Arabidopsis thaliana: one gene and its partners. The protein of the gene in region 1 interacts with the protein of each later gene in a biochemical or structural test. Each region holds a gene or a part of one and is shown in the gene's direction. Other genes may lie near its edges.

Region 1 (5,155 bases):
GACAATTTTGAAACATTGACCACATAAGAACAGTACCAGACCATAAGCTTGTGGAGATGCCACTTCCAAGATAGAGAGATTGAAATCAGGGTTCTGAGCCAAAGCAAGTCCAATAAACTTTCCATAGGCCATTCCTGCTGCCCCGCCAATAAAGAGAGAAGGAGCATAGTATCCACCGACAAGTCCAGAAGCCCGACACCATGCGGTTGCAGCTATCTTGACCGCTACCAGCTGAAGCAAAAGATCAGCTGAAAGACCCTTCACAAATGGACGTTTCTCCAACAAAATATCCACATTCTGAAAACCCCAGTATAATACTTCAGGGTATACCAAAGCTATGATACCAACACTTAATCCACCCATTACAGGAAATACAGCCTTTGGTATCCCAGCATCCTTGTTAAGACTGTCAACAGCAGATGTCATGGATGATGTACATCGAGATAATGCCAACGAGACCAAGCCACACAGAGCGCCCAATAAAAGATAGAGTGGAAGTTCTGAAAATCAGTGACCAGCTCTCATAAGTTTGGTTTCTGGTTCCCTTGCGTAAAAAGCATAAGAATGGCAATGCATATTACCTCCAGGAGAGCGGAAGTCATAGTCAGGAACCTTAAACGCAGGTTCAGAGCCGAGACCGATTTCGGAAACCACAGAAGCAGTAACAGCACTAAGAATAACCATAGAAGTTGTGTTTGGAAGTGAAGTTGATGAATCAGTTGATGAAGAAGGCCACAAAACGGATTCAACTGCAAAGAAGCATCCAGCCACAGCTGCATTGAACCCTGTAACAACATATAACAAAGTCCTCTTAACGAATCAATCAAGAGTTCCATACGCAAGAGAGAACAACATTAGCAAATATCAGATGAACAAACCAGAGGAAATGCCAGCAGCTGAGCCAGCGGCAAGAAGTGAGAAGCCAGTCTGAGGACTTTTATTGAACAGAGAATTCACACCTTTAGCGATTGACGCTCCAATTTCAACACTTGGACCTTCCGGCCCCAGCGAATTTCCAGTCCCAAGCGTCACACATGCGGCAACAGTCTTAAGGAAAGGACGCAACACTGCCTTTACGCGATCGAGACTAGAATGAGAATCTCCAGTAGATTTTCCAGCAGATTCTCGAAGCTGATTGAGGATGCTCACCACCAAACCGCCGATAGTCGGAACAAGGATAACACGCAACCAATTGGAACCGATCGGTGCCTCTCTAAGCCACGAAGCTCCACGATCAGGAATCCCATCCCAGGAAAAGTCTCGAAGCAAGTGAACACAGTTGTTGAATAGAACCACACTAACTCCAGTGAGAACACCAACCAAACAAGCCGACGCTATCGCAAGCTCCTGAGACGGCTGCTGATCAAATCCAACCTCATCCTGATCAGTCTCCTGCTTCGCCGCCGGTAAACGCGGGAAAATTCTACCGCCAATAGCGACGGAACCGAAAAACGGTGAAAGGACGACATTGAACTGAAAAGGAACGTCGGTTTTGTGAATTGGAGCGAATCTCCGGGAAGAGACGGGAGATCGGAGGGCAGCACAGAGTGGAAGCGTGGCTGCCATGAACGGCTGCTTCCGTGAAGTGACGCGTGTTTATCCATTAACGGATAATTTGATCTTAAATCACAAATCTTACGTGGCTGATCTTATTATTCAAACGCATGGGCTTGGGCCTTGAGGTAAACAGGTTTATATGGGCCAATAACAATAAATTTGATTAAAAATAAAAGGCCTCTTAGCTTTAGGTTCAAACTTCAATGGAGAAGCAGTGGCTGTTGTCCCTCGCAGTTGATCTTCTTCTCAATCCAAAATCCAGCTGATAAATAAATAATTTTTCTCTTGTCGTCATATTAAAAAAAAGAAAGATTATCTGTATTTCAAGTTTCATGAGCGTTTGCCACCACAACATTGTCTTTTCGGGTTAATTTCTTCTTCTTCTTCCTTTTCTTACTAAATTCTCTTAGGTAGTTGTCGATTCGATTTCTTTGTCTTCCTCTTCGCTTATTTTCGTTGAATCTCTTGTTTACACCTTTTCCTGAAAACAAAATTGTGTTTTTTGTAGGGTTTTAGTCATACTTAATGGCTTCCAATTCGGAGAAAAATCCTCTTCTTTCAGGTGATTATTTTCTTCTCAGTATACAATCTGATCTGCGATAATGAATCGTTTCTAGTCAGATTTGGTTATTGGTTCATTGTAATTTGTTTACTGTAGATGAGAAACCCAAATCGACGGAGGAGAATAAGAGTTCTAAGCCGGAATCAGCTTCTGGGAGTTCAACTTCATCAGCTATGCCTGGCTTGAATTTCAATGCTTTTGATTTCTCTAATATGGCTAGTATTCTCAACGTAAGTTACCTTTGCTGTTAGCACAATTGAAAAGTTATCTTCTTTGAGTTTTTTTTTAATTGATAATGGTTTTTTTTGTAGGATCCTAGCATCAGAGAAATGGCTGAGCAAATAGCTAAAGATCCTGCGTTTAACCAATTGGCTGAGCAGCTTCAGAGATCTATTCCTAACGCTGGCCAGGAAGGTGGTTTCCCTAACTTTGATCCTCAACAGTATGTCAATACAATGCAACAGGTTATGCATAACCCTGAGTTTAAGACAATGGCCGAGAAACTTGGTACCGCCTTAGTTCAGGTTAGGAATTGATGACTTTTTCCATCTAATCGAGGTGTGGCTTTGAATGAAGCTCTGTGTCTTATCTGATTTTATTTATTTTTTTTGCCTACAGGATCCACAAATGTCTCCTTTTTTGGATGCTTTCTCGAATCCTGAAACAGCAGAACACTTTACTGAGCGTATGGCGCGGATGAAAGAAGATCCAGAGTTGAAACCTATACTAGATGAGATTGATGCTGGTGGTCCTTCTGCCATGATGAAGTGAGTGATACAAACTTCTTTCAATGTTTTTTAGAGAAACTGTAGAGTTTGTTTCTGTTTATGAAGGAAGAATTATTTATTCTGTTTTAGGTACTGGAATGATCCAGAAGTGCTGAAAAAGCTGGGTGAAGCAATGGGTATGCCTGTTGCTGGCTTACCAGACCAGACTGTTTCAGCTGAACCTGAGGTAGCAGAAGAAGGTGAAGAAGAAGAGTCTATTGTTCACCAAACTGCCAGTCTTGGTGATGTTGAGGTTAGACTGCTTCCTACGTTAATATGCTTGACCATGTGAGATTTATCTTGCGTGTTGCTTGAGGAATTAGATGTTCCAAGTTTTGTTTTGTTGAACTCGTTATTGGATTTTTATTCGTTGATTCATTAGGGTTTGAAAGCTGCCTTGGCATCTGGTGGTAACAAAGATGAAGAAGATTCTGAAGGAAGGACAGCATTGCATTTTGCTTGTGGATACGGCGAGGTATGCAATTCTCTTATCAATTCACGGCAATTAAATATTCGGATTTAGATGGTTCTCTTTTTTTCAGTAGCTGTGAAGTTAAGAATCTTTATAATCATTCAATTGGTAGAAAAGTAACCAGTCTACTTACGTCTACGAGTTTCATGACACAATTACTTATAGCAAGTTCAAATATTTGGTGAAAGAGCAATGAGATGGAACTGGCGATTACTTGCATACTAAAGATTTTGCTTATGAATATGGATTGAACTGAGTTTAACCCTGTTGAGCCCTATCAACAGTTGAAATGTGCTCAAGTTCTTATCGATGCTGGAGCAAGTGTTAATGCGGTTGACAAAAACAAGAACACACCTCTGCATTATGCTGCTGGTTACGGGAGGAAAGAGTGTGTAAGCCTTCTCCTGGAGAATGGTGCTGCAGTGTAAGTCTCACAACACAGTACTTATAATGAAACAACTCCATTAAACACTGTTTCAGGACTTTAATTATATGTGCTTTGGTTGATGTGTGTGGTTGCAGCACTCTGCAAAACCTAGACGAGAAGACGCCAATTGATGTAGCGAAGCTCAACAGCCAGCTGGAGGTGGTGAAGCTGCTTGAGAAGGATGCTTTCCTTTGAGCTCTGCTGGTTAAAGGAAAGCTCTAAGCTCATATTGTCTTTGAGGCATTTGTCTTGTGTGTGTCCTGAACCAGTTTCACAGGCTTTTTGTGTACACTTTTTATTAGTTCCTCTCTTCTTCTAAATTTGTCTCTTATGTTGTTTTAAAAGTCAATAAAGAAAGAAATAGCAATCAATGATTTAATTTATGATTATATTCTTTATTTCGTCGACCTCTACAGAATGATTCAATTTGGAAGAATCATTCTGGTTTGGAGGATATGTAAGAAAAACTACTTGATCTCCAAGTTATTCCATTCTTCTGTTACTGTATTGCCCAAATTCCCAAGCTTGACAATATTTACGCAAAGCTCAAAACCCAAAATATTTGAGAATCAAAACAAAATCAAGGGTCTTGTCTTTTTTTTTTTTTTTGGTGTGAATCAAAGGTCTTGTCTTTGCAAGTAAATTCGTTCCTAATGAACTGTGTGAGTCGTTTAAAGTGTTTGATAAGCAAAGCACGAAGCTTTGCACGGCTTGGTGGTGAATCCACTCTCTCTCAACCGCCGTCTCTCGCCTCCGCCGCGTTTTCTTCATCCGCCGTCATGAATGGTCTCGAAACTCACAACACAAGGCTCTGTATCGTAGGAAGTGGCCCAGCGGCACACACGGCGGCGATTTACGCAGCTAGGGCTGAACTTAAACCTCTTCTCTTCGAAGGATGGATGGCTAACGACATCGCTCCCGGTGGTCAACTAACAACCACCACCGACGTCGAGAATTTCCCCGGATTTCCAGAAGGTATTCTCGGAGTAGAGCTCACTGACAAATTCCGTAAACAATCGGAGCGATTCGGTACTACGATATTTACAGAGACGGTGACGAAAGTCGATTTCTCTTCGAAACCGTTTAAGCTATTCACAGATTCAAAAGCCATTCTCGCTGACGCTGTGATTCTCGCTACTGGAGCTGTGGCTAAGCGGCTTAGCTTCGTTGGATCTGGTGAAGCTTCTGGAGGTTTCTGGAACCGTGGAATCTCCGCTTGTGCTGTTTGCGACGGAGCTGCTCCGATATTCCGTAACAAACCTCTTGCGGTGATCGGTGGAGGCGATTCAGCAATGGAAGAAGCAAACTTTCTTACAAAATATGGATCTAAAGTGTATATAATCCATAGGAGAGATGCTTTTAGAGCGTCT
Region 2 (3,232 bases), on another chromosome or scaffold:
GTTTGGAAAAGCAACTCAAGTGGTCGTGAGAGATGTGGTGGCCAGTTCAAGCACCCTACTGACGCTCTGGTCCACTTCTAGTGCGCTTTTACCGCCCATGATAAATGCGGCCGAGCTTTATGTAATTAGTAAGGGTACAAGCGAAAGCACAGGCGGAAACGAAACTGGTTCCGGTTCAGGATCAGGATCCGGTGGAAGTGGAGGAGGAGGATCTGGGAGCAGTGGATCCGGATCTGGTTTGTTTTCTTGGAATGCATTTTTAATGAATTACTCTATTTTTCGACGAATTACCAAAACAAACAAGCTTTTAGTATATTTAGATTATATAATCACCTTTGAAGTTTGAGTGAAAAAAAAAGAGAGTCACATTGAATTTTATTTGTGTTAGGCTCAGGTGGGACTAGCAAAGGAGGAACTGGAGGTAGCAATGAAGTGAGTCCAGGTTTGTATTTGGATCTTTCTATTCATTTTATCTTGTTATCTTATGGGTTTGTTAATTAGAAAAAGCTCTCAGTAATCATCATAACATGAATATTATGAAGAAAAGAAAAAAAAAACATTTAGTTATGCATATTATGCAAGTAAAAAAAATTACATTTGTTATGGGGTCAGGTGGATCAACCAATGGAAAGAGCAGTAAACTGCCAATTATACTCGGTGTAGTGTCACCGGTTGCGTTTGTTCTTGTCGCATATGTGTTCATCGCTATAATCTTAGCTAATCGTCGCAAAGTGAGGCTGCAAGCCTTGGCTATGCCTACGTCCACAGGTATTTATATATAGAGTGATTATATATTTGATCCATTTCTTCTAAACATATATGAAGTTTTGTTCATGCATGGCTAATCTCTCTATCTACTCTAGAGATGTGACTAGTTAAATGTTTTGATGATAGTGGCTACTATGGGGACTGGACCGTCAACTCTGTTCACACAACAGATGGACAATGATTCTACATCAAACCAGCCTACAAATGAAATGGGAGAGATCGACGACCTTACTGGATGAACCAGTCATACGTAGCGCAATGATATTGAACATCATGTAAAAGAAATGTTTTAATCTTGAGTTTTAGTATATGTTTTCAATGATTTTTTTTCTCTCTCTTTGTACGTAATAGTTTGATTCTTCTGATCATGAATGTCATGTATCCGCATTAATGTATATAGTTATAAATTTCTATTATCATTTATTTATTTTAGGTTGCGCTTTATTTATTCTCAATTTTCCCATACGAATTTTTTGTCTTTATATTTATCACAAAAAAAGAGTTTGCTCTTTAAAAAACTATACTAATGTAATTTTTTTATTTTATTTTCTCTATCTTAATCGGATATTAATCCGACTCTTCTTCTTCCCAAAAATTAATATTAGTTTCAAATCCAAAGCAACCCACCTCATTCAACTTTCCTTCGATTTTCTTCAAATTTCCAGTTTCCACTTGCTTTCATTGCTTCTTTCCCGCCGTTTCTAGATCTTCAATCGAGAAAGGGATTTGCAACTTTTCACACAAAAATCTTAGATTAATTGTTATTAATAACTTGTTCATCAAACCACTAAAAATCCCGTGTCATCTTCGACTTCTTGGTTAAAATTCAATAAAGAGTGTAACTTTTCATTGCTATAACTTAATAATTTGTTTGTGAGAAGAGAACTCTAGTCTTACAGGGACCAACACCAACAATCAAAATTTAGATAATGAAGAATAGTTGCTGATGCATGATTAAGATTGAATTTATCAACAAAAGATAAGTGTTCATTATACAACACGTGATTAATTGCATGGTGTATTAAGGCCCATTAACGAAGTCCATGGTAAAATGAAACGGCATGGCGTTCACTACCCCACCTAATGAACTGCATGTCGTCTCAACCATCAACATAGAAGCTTCTTGAAGCCACCTGAGAAATCTGGTAGCGACACTCTTGAAAGACACGTTATAAAGAAACGGAAAGAAGAAACCTGAAATTTCAAGAAACTTGCAGAGCTTTCTATCTCTTATCCTCTTCTCTACCATCATTTCTCCCTATAAATACGCCAACGCACATAAGTGTTTGCATTCGAAGAGAGTTCTAGCAAAACAAAACAAAACAGAGCAAACAGAGTAAGCGAAACGATGTCTCTAGTTCCGAGCTTTTTTGGAGGCCGAAGAACAAACGTGTTCGACCCATTTTCACTAGACGTATGGGATCCGTTCGAAGGATTCTTGACGCCCGGGTTGACAAACGCACCTGCCAAGGACGTGGCAGCGTTCACAAACGCTAAAGTGGACTGGAGGGAGACACCTGAAGCGCATGTGTTCAAGGCGGACGTGCCTGGGCTTAAGAAGGAAGAGGTGAAGGTGGAGGTTGAAGATGGTAACATACTTCAGATAAGCGGTGAGAGGAGCAGTGAGAATGAAGAGAAGAGTGACACATGGCACCGTGTGGAGCGGTCAAGTGGGAAGTTCATGAGGAGGTTTCGGTTGCCAGAGAATGCAAAGGTGGAGGAAGTAAAGGCGAGTATGGAGAATGGGGTGTTGTCGGTTACGGTGCCGAAAGTTCAGGAGAGTAAGCCGGAGGTCAAGTCCGTTGATATCTCTGGTTAAGAGGAACTCTGAAGTTGGAAAGCTTAAGACAGTAATATGTGATAGTGTGAAATAAATGGTGCGACTTTCCTTTCTTCTTTTTCTTGTAATCACCAATCTCGTTGTATCAATATAAGTAATCGTAATAAAAGAGTGTTTTGATCCATTGATAGTTACGAGCCAACCATACGAATCTTTTGAATATAAAAGTTTTGAAGTGTCATTTCTCCTAGTCCTAATAAGTTTTTAAGTGAAGGGACCTCAGTCTTGTCAGCAGAACACTAAAGAAACTTTCCGACCTGACTTTGTTGGATTAGGATTGTTGTGGCTGCGAGTCACCAAGGACGAGGGTTCTAAGCAATGGCATCTGGCTCTCGAGAAGTTCCCGTTTGGTCAAGATTCTGTCTGCGGAGCAATCATGTTCCTGTTCATGTTGATGGAATAGTTTTAAGATATCATTCACTACAGATTTAATTGGTTTCATTTCAAATGAACATTTGTAGCCCACAAAATAAGAGAAGGATATGAACCTCGCCGGATGAAGCTGACATTAGAGCAAGAAGAGTTACAGTTGCTGTTTGGTAATCTGTCAGAGTCTTGTACGCAGATTCATCAAGTTTTTCCTACATGGTTTAAAATAGACGTGTTAGCCACAGAAAAAGAAAA
Region 3 (3,377 bases), on another chromosome or scaffold:
AAGCTCTCCAACAATCAATTACAGGGGAAAATATTTTCGAAGCATGCAAATCTTACTGGTTTAGTTGGGCTTTTTCTTGATGGCAACAATTTTACTGGGAGTCTTGAAGAGGGTTTATTGAAGTCAAAGAATCTTACTCTTTTAGACATATCAGATAATAGGTTTTCGGGCATGCTTCCACTTTGGATTGGTAGGATATCAAGGCTTTCCTACCTATACATGAGTGGTAATCAGCTAAAAGGTCCTTTCCCTTTTCTACGACAGAGTCCTTGGGTTGAGGTTATGGACATCTCACACAATAGCTTCTCTGGTTCGATACCAAGGAATGTGAATTTTCCATCTCTCAGAGAACTAAGACTACAAAACAATGAGTTTACGGGTTTAGTTCCGGGAAATTTATTCAAGGCTGCGGGATTAGAAGTGCTTGATTTGCGGAACAACAATTTTTCTGGAAAGATACTGAACACTATTGACCAGACATCTAAGTTACGTATTCTTCTTCTACGGAATAACAGCTTTCAAACTTATATCCCTGGGAAAATATGTCAGCTAAGTGAAGTTGGTCTGTTAGACTTGTCTCACAATCAATTCAGAGGCCCCATACCATCATGTTTCAGTAAAATGTCTTTTGGTGCAGAGCAGAATGACCGTACCATGTCACTTGTTGCAGATTTTGACTTCTCATACATTACATTCTTGCCACATTGTCAATATGGATCACATCTTAACTTGGATGATGGTGTCAGGAATGGTTATCAACCAAAACCAGCAACCGTAGTGGATTTTTTAACGAAAAGCAGATATGAGGCGTATCAAGGTGATATTCTCCGCTATATGCATGGTCTGGATTTGTCGAGCAACGAACTATCGGGTGAAATTCCAATCGAGATTGGAGATCTTCAGAATATCAGGTCCCTGAATTTGTCAAGTAACCGCCTCACAGGCTCCATACCAGATAGCATTTCAAAGCTGAAGGGCTTAGAGAGTCTTGATCTATCCAACAATAAGCTAGATGGAAGTATCCCTCCTGCGCTAGCCGATCTCAACAGTTTAGGATACTTGAATATCTCATATAACAATTTATCAGGTGAAATCCCTTTCAAAGGCCATCTTGTTACCTTTGACGAGAGGAGTTACATAGGCAACGCTCATCTCTGTGGACTTCCTACAAATAAAAATTGCATCTCCCAGAGAGTCCCTGAGCCACCAAGTGTGTCAACGCATGCCAAAGAGGAAGAAAATGAAGAAGAAGGTAATGTGATAGACATGGTGTGGTTTTACTGGACTTGTGCTGCAGTCTACATATCTACATCCTTGGCATTGTTTGCTTTCCTCTACATAGACTCACGATGGTCCCGAGAATGGTTTTATCGTGTAGATCTATGCGTTCATCATATTCTACAGTTCAAGCGTTCCTCAGTCTGCAACTGATTCTGTGGATTAGCCAAGGTATACACCACTGGAATAACACAGTCTTAAAATGCTTTCTTAGTTGATCCAAGTTAGATGAGAAAAAGCTTTTGTATACAAAATATATGTCTTCGATGTCAAATATATACATGATACCAGTTTCAATTTCTAAACATTATCTCATAATATTTGGGCCTCAGGAGCCCATTATAGCCCATAAAACGCATAACGGCTGAATAGAGTCGTACTGTACTTGAAATTGAAAGGCATCTACTAGTAGACTCTAGAGTTTTCTGGATTCTGTTTTCCAATCTTTTCATCGTTTTCGTGTGAAGTTTAAAGAAGTTTGGGACCCGTAAATTCTAGAAGCTCTGGAGATTTCTTGTTCACCACTATAAATACATCATCCGAGTCACCAGCTTTGCTCAGAAGTAGAAATCGAACTCGCCGGAAAATCGTAATTAGCTATCTCAGCATTCCAAACATCTCTTTCGCTTTCGAAATCAAATCGAGAATGTCGCTTATTCCAAGCTTCTTCGGCAACAACAGGCGAAGCAACAGCATCTTCGACCCGTTCTCACTCGACGTTTGGGATCCATTCAAGGAACTGCAATTCCCGTCGTCGCTCTCCGGAGAAACATCGGCGATAACGAACGCACGTGTGGACTGGAAAGAGACGGCGGAGGCGCACGTGTTCAAGGCCGATCTGCCGGGGATGAAGAAAGAGGAGGTTAAAGTGGAGATAGAGGACGACAGTGTGCTCAAGATCAGTGGAGAGAGACACGTGGAGAAAGAGGAGAAGCAGGACACGTGGCATCGTGTGGAGAGGTCGAGCGGGCAATTCTCGAGGAAGTTTAAGCTGCCGGAGAATGTGAAGATGGATCAAGTCAAGGCTTCCATGGAGAACGGAGTTCTGACTGTGACGGTGCCTAAAGTGGAAGAGGCTAAGAAGAAGGCTCAAGTTAAGTCTATTGATATCTCTGGCTAAAGCCAATTAGCTTATGGGTTTCATGTTTATGCGTAAAGACTCTTCTGATTATGGCTCTTGATTTGAATATGGCTCTGTGTTTTGGTAATGATGTATTATAACTGTTAATCCTAATAATTAAGCAAGGCCTTTATATTCTCGTTTCAATTGCTTTTTCTGAAGATTTTAGCCGTAAATTCGATTTTAACTCGGATGGGACCAACTAAACTTAAGTTTAAAGGTTGAATTTTTAATTTAGATATGCAATTTGCATAATCTGATCTTAGTTTTGGTATGACTGATTTGTAACAAAGTCTTATAACAAAAAGTTGAAATTTAATGAAATTATTTCTTCCGTGGTAAACAAAAAAAAAAGAATCTCAAAATTCGAAACTAAATAAAAGGGAGTTTCCGTTTTCACCTCTTGGGCACAAAACCCGCAACGTATAAGGAAAGGAAACAGAGAAATACAGAAACAAAATATATAAAAAAAACATTTGTTCCATTCTCGATCCTTCCGGCTTGCTCAAAAGGTAAAATTCGATTTTCTAGGGTTTCGATTTGCTGCTTTTTGATCTCATTGACGATGATTAGTTGTAGTTTCTTCGATCGATGTTGACGTGAATGTGTATATGCGTAGGTTGATCAGACGCTAGGATTTGAGAAGCAATGGCGAATAGAATAGATCATGAGTACGATTACTTGTTCAAGATCGTCCTGATCGGCGATTCCGGTGTTGGTAAATCCAACATTCTCTCTCGATTCACCAGAAACGAGTTCTGTCTCGAATCCAAATCCACCATTGGCGTCGAATTCGCCACCCGGACTTTACAGGTCATCTCTCTTCTCTCGCTTTCTCTAAATCTAGACAATTTCCCTCCAGATCAATTTGGTGTTTAATCTTAGATTGTGTCGTCGCATTTGCATCCTCTGATATTTGAACAGGCATGTGATTGTTAGATCTGAAGATCTTATGTTATGAAAATGAATTCTCGTTAGG
Region 4 (3,210 bases), on another chromosome or scaffold:
CTTGTATTATGCAAATTGAAACTCTAATGGTGACGTACGACAACACTAAGACCATGTTATCCGGCATGTCCTGGTCTAAAGTTTAATATTAAACCGAGTAGTTAATTTTAGAACTAAAATATGTTCAACTTGGTTATTATTAAGATAAAAAAATTTATTATATAAAATTTAGTTTTTAAAAATAGTAGAGGCTAGAGACACATATTTAGAGGTGTCAAAATGGGTAACCCAACTCAACCCAACTCATAATCAAATGAGTTTAGAGTTAAATGAGTTATGTGTTAACTCAACTCATTTTGTTAAATGGGTTGGGTCAACTCATAACTCATTTAATTTGATGGGTTGAGTTGTTAAATGGGTTAACCCATTTAATTAATAATTTACTTAATTACTATTATAAAATAATAATAAATAATTATCATTATTAATTCATTATCATCAAACTTAGGATATTTACGGATTCTACTTTTTATGGGTTTACGTTTTTTATGGGAAAATCTTGGGTTTACGTTTTTGGTGGGAAAATCACGGGTTTACGTTTTTGGTGGGAAAATCACGGGTTTACGTTTTTGGTGGGAAAATCACGGGTTTACGTTTTTGGTGGAAAAATTACGAGTTTACGTTTTTTGGCGAGAAAATTACGAGTTTACGTTTTTAGCGTCAAAATTACGAGTTTACGTTTTTGGCGGGAAAACCACGGGTTTATGTTTTTGGCGGAAAAATCTCGGGTTTACGTTTTTGGCGGGAAAATCACGGGTTTACGTTTTTGGTGGGAAAATCACGGGTTTACGTTTTTGGAAAAAAATTATGGGTTTACGTTTTTGGCGGAAAAATTACGGGTTTCCGTTTTTGGCGGGAAATTATGGATTTACGTTTTTGGCGGGAAAATCTCTGGTTTACGTTTTTGGCGGAAAAATCAGGGGTTTACGTTTTTGGCGGAAAAATCACGGGTTTACGTTTTTGGCGAGAAAATCACGGATTTACGTTTTTGGCGGGAAAATCACGGGTTTATGTTTTTTGGTGGAAAATTTACGAGTTTACTTTTTCTCAATTTCATCGCATGTATATTTAAGAAATTTGGAAAAATATTAATTTTATTAAATTGGTTTAGATGTGTTGGTTAGACTTAAATTGACATTGATTTAGAAATTTTAGTTGGTTTAATTCAATTTTACAAAACTTGATGGGTTAATTGGGTAAACCATTGAAACCATTAATCATTACAACCCAACTCATTTTACTCATCAAACCAATTGACTCATCAACTCATTTGACCCATCAACTCATTTGAGTCAAAATTTTCAACTCATTAGGGTTTATGGGTTGAGTTGAGTTGACCAATAAATTTTGACCCATTGACACCCCTACACATATCAAATAATTTTAACCTATCTAAATTTTTTTTATAAAAATTACTAACTAACATGTCACGAGTTCACGACACATATCAATAAAAATATTAGATGTCTTCATGTATTAAGTCTAAATTTGTTAATACATTTACTGAGAAAATGAAAAAGTTAATAACTCTATATGAAAAAGGAGGTTATATATAAGTAAAAAAGAAATTTGATAATAAATTAAGAAAAAAAAAAACACAATTTGTAACTATATTAGAAAAAAGGTAAAAGTTCCTTATCCTAACAAAAAAGAAATTGTTGATATATTGAACTATTTATCTAATTCTATTGATTGTTTTTTTCCATATATATATTCCCAAGAAAATAAAATAGGGATCCTTTCAATTATATTTACAATTATATAAAAAGTTTGTATTAATTAACCAATAGACGGATAAAAAGTTGGGCCATAGTTTAACAAACAAACTATCTTTATCCAATGAGAAGCCCAAACCGGCCCATTTTAAACATCCTAGTAAAACCCATCTCCCGATCTTAAACCATCGGTTGATACCACCGACACGCGAACAAGACGACGACGCAGCGATGGGAAAAACTTCGGGAGCGAAACAGGCGACTGTGGTGGTCGCAGCGATGGCGTTAGGATGGTTAGCCATAGAGATCGCTTTCAAGCCTTTCCTCGATAAATTCCGCTCCTCAATCGACAAATCTGACCCAACCAAAGACCCCGATGACTTCGACACCGCCGCTACTGCAACCACATCCAAAGAGGGTTTGTAAAATTAGGGTTTTATCAGATTAAAGAGATTTACTGATTTCAATCCATTTCATGTAACTGATGAATCCATGTGTTCTTAATCATAACAGTTTGAGCAATTTCTTTTGAGTCATGATCGTTTATTTGTCATCAATTTTTGGAAAAGTCTGCTATATTGAATCTGTTATTGTAGTTCAATCGCATAACAGAATCATTAATCTAATCAATATTCATACATGATTTGTTACACCGTTTTTCGTATTTTGTATAAAGTTTCGAGCTGTATTATTAAGGTGGAAGAAGAGATTAGGAATCCGATAAGTACTTAAATTGTTTTAAGTTATGATTCGATTATACGTATCTCTTGAAAAGAAGCATGTTAGAGCAAAATATCAAACTTGACAATTACAAGATTGCTTTATAGATAAAGCAGATTAGCTAAATAAGTATAGGGAGACGATAACATGTGGTGATACAAAGATGTGTCAGATTGATTGTTTAACATCATTTAGTTGAGAAAACTTTGGACGACGACTGACTTCATCATATGAGAAAACACCAAGAAAATGTACTACTAGTCTCTAATGGAGAGACTTGGTTATAGAAGTTCATTGTTTAATTTGAATATTTACTCCAATTCAGGAAAATATCAAAACCAGAAAATTACATGAAAATTACTATAGATGGTAGCTTTGCAATGATTATTGTCCGGTTGGATAGTTTCATTGACATTTAGGATTCAGATTATCTCTTTTATCATTATCAGTTTGTTAAGGCAAGAGTTTTCTAATACATGCTTAAGTCCTAATCATCAGATATTTCTTCTTCAAACCTTTTTTGTTTTGTTTTGATAATTTGCCCCATTTTGTACTCTAGGTTTTTCCACAAAGATCCCAAACAGAGATTAAAAGATGACAATGGCATGGACCTTTCAATGCTTTGTTTTTTTGTTAAATTAGATATAAACCTTTCCAAACAGTAAATTATCAAATTCATTAACAAGTATCTATATCTCTCTAGTAGAGGTAGACCACAACTTAAAAATCTCCTCAAGTCATGGTGGGTCTAACTTGTAGGACTTATATGGGCCAA

Evidence for each region.
Region 2: the proteins of AKR2 (region 1) and HSP17.4 form a complex in vitro, tested with the Arabidopsis thaliana proteins (one study listed by BioGRID).
Region 3: the proteins of AKR2 (region 1) and AT1G07400 form a complex in vitro, tested with the Arabidopsis thaliana proteins (one study listed by BioGRID).
Region 4: the proteins of AKR2 (region 1) and OEP7 form a complex in vitro, tested with the Arabidopsis thaliana proteins (one study listed by BioGRID).

What each region holds. Positions count from the first base shown.
Region 1 is NC_003075.7:16,837,780-16,842,934, forward strand, and holds AKR2 (ankyrin repeat-containing protein 2), read left to right. Parts: upstream 1-1,752; 5' UTR 1,753-1,967; exon of another isoform or gene 1,968-2,065; 5' UTR 2,066-2,082; coding exon 2,083-2,119; intron 2,120-2,148; exon of another isoform or gene 2,149-2,215; coding exon 2,216-2,349; intron 2,350-2,430; coding exon 2,431-2,643; intron 2,644-2,737; coding exon 2,738-2,886; intron 2,887-2,952; coding exon 2,953-3,139; intron 3,140-3,268; coding exon 3,269-3,361; intron 3,362-3,642; coding exon 3,643-3,782; intron 3,783-3,880; coding exon 3,881-3,980; 3' UTR 3,981-4,170; downstream 4,171-5,155. Other genes in the region: CLC-E (chloride channel E), read right to left, coding at 37-500, 582-785, 879-1,566; NTRB (NADPH-dependent thioredoxin reductase B), read left to right, coding at 4,439-5,155. UniProt on the Arabidopsis thaliana protein: Exhibits chaperone activity toward chloroplast outer envelope membrane, mitochondrion outer membrane, endoplasmic reticulum membrane and peroxisomal proteins, by recruiting specific proteins containing a single transmembrane associated with an AKR2A-binding sequence (ABS) and subsequently binding glycolipids (e.g. monogalactosyldiacylglycerol (MGDG) and phosphatidylglycerol (PG)) present in the membrane of the target organelle.
Region 2 is NC_003074.8:16,983,618-16,986,849, reverse strand, and holds HSP17.4 (heat shock protein 17.4), read left to right. Parts: upstream 1-2,008; 5' UTR 2,009-2,116; coding exon 2,117-2,587; 3' UTR 2,588-2,732; downstream 2,733-3,232. Other genes in the region: AT3G46240 (ER protein carbohydrate-binding protein), read left to right, coding at 1-236, 389-421, 613-768, 895-1,007; AT3G46220 (E3 UFM1-protein ligase-like protein), read right to left, coding at 2,880-2,990, 3,097-3,189.
Region 3 is NC_003070.9:2,273,224-2,276,600, forward strand, and holds AT1G07400 (HSP20-like chaperones superfamily protein), read left to right. Parts: upstream 1-1,702; 5' UTR 1,703-1,924; coding exon 1,925-2,398; 3' UTR 2,399-2,560; downstream 2,561-3,377. Other genes in the region: RLP1 (receptor like protein 1), read left to right, coding at 1-1,431; RABA2b (RAB GTPase homolog A2B), read left to right, coding at 3,047-3,211. UniProt on the Arabidopsis thaliana protein: Cytosolic mediator for sorting and targeting of nascent chloroplast outer envelope membrane (OEM) proteins to the chloroplast. Functions as an AKR2A cofactor to facilitate the targeting of OEP7 to chloroplasts.
Region 4 is NC_003074.8:19,427,829-19,431,038, forward strand, and holds OEP7 (outer envelope membrane protein 7), read left to right. Parts: upstream 1-1,857; 5' UTR 1,858-1,946; coding exon 1,947-2,141; 3' UTR 2,142-2,431; downstream 2,432-3,210.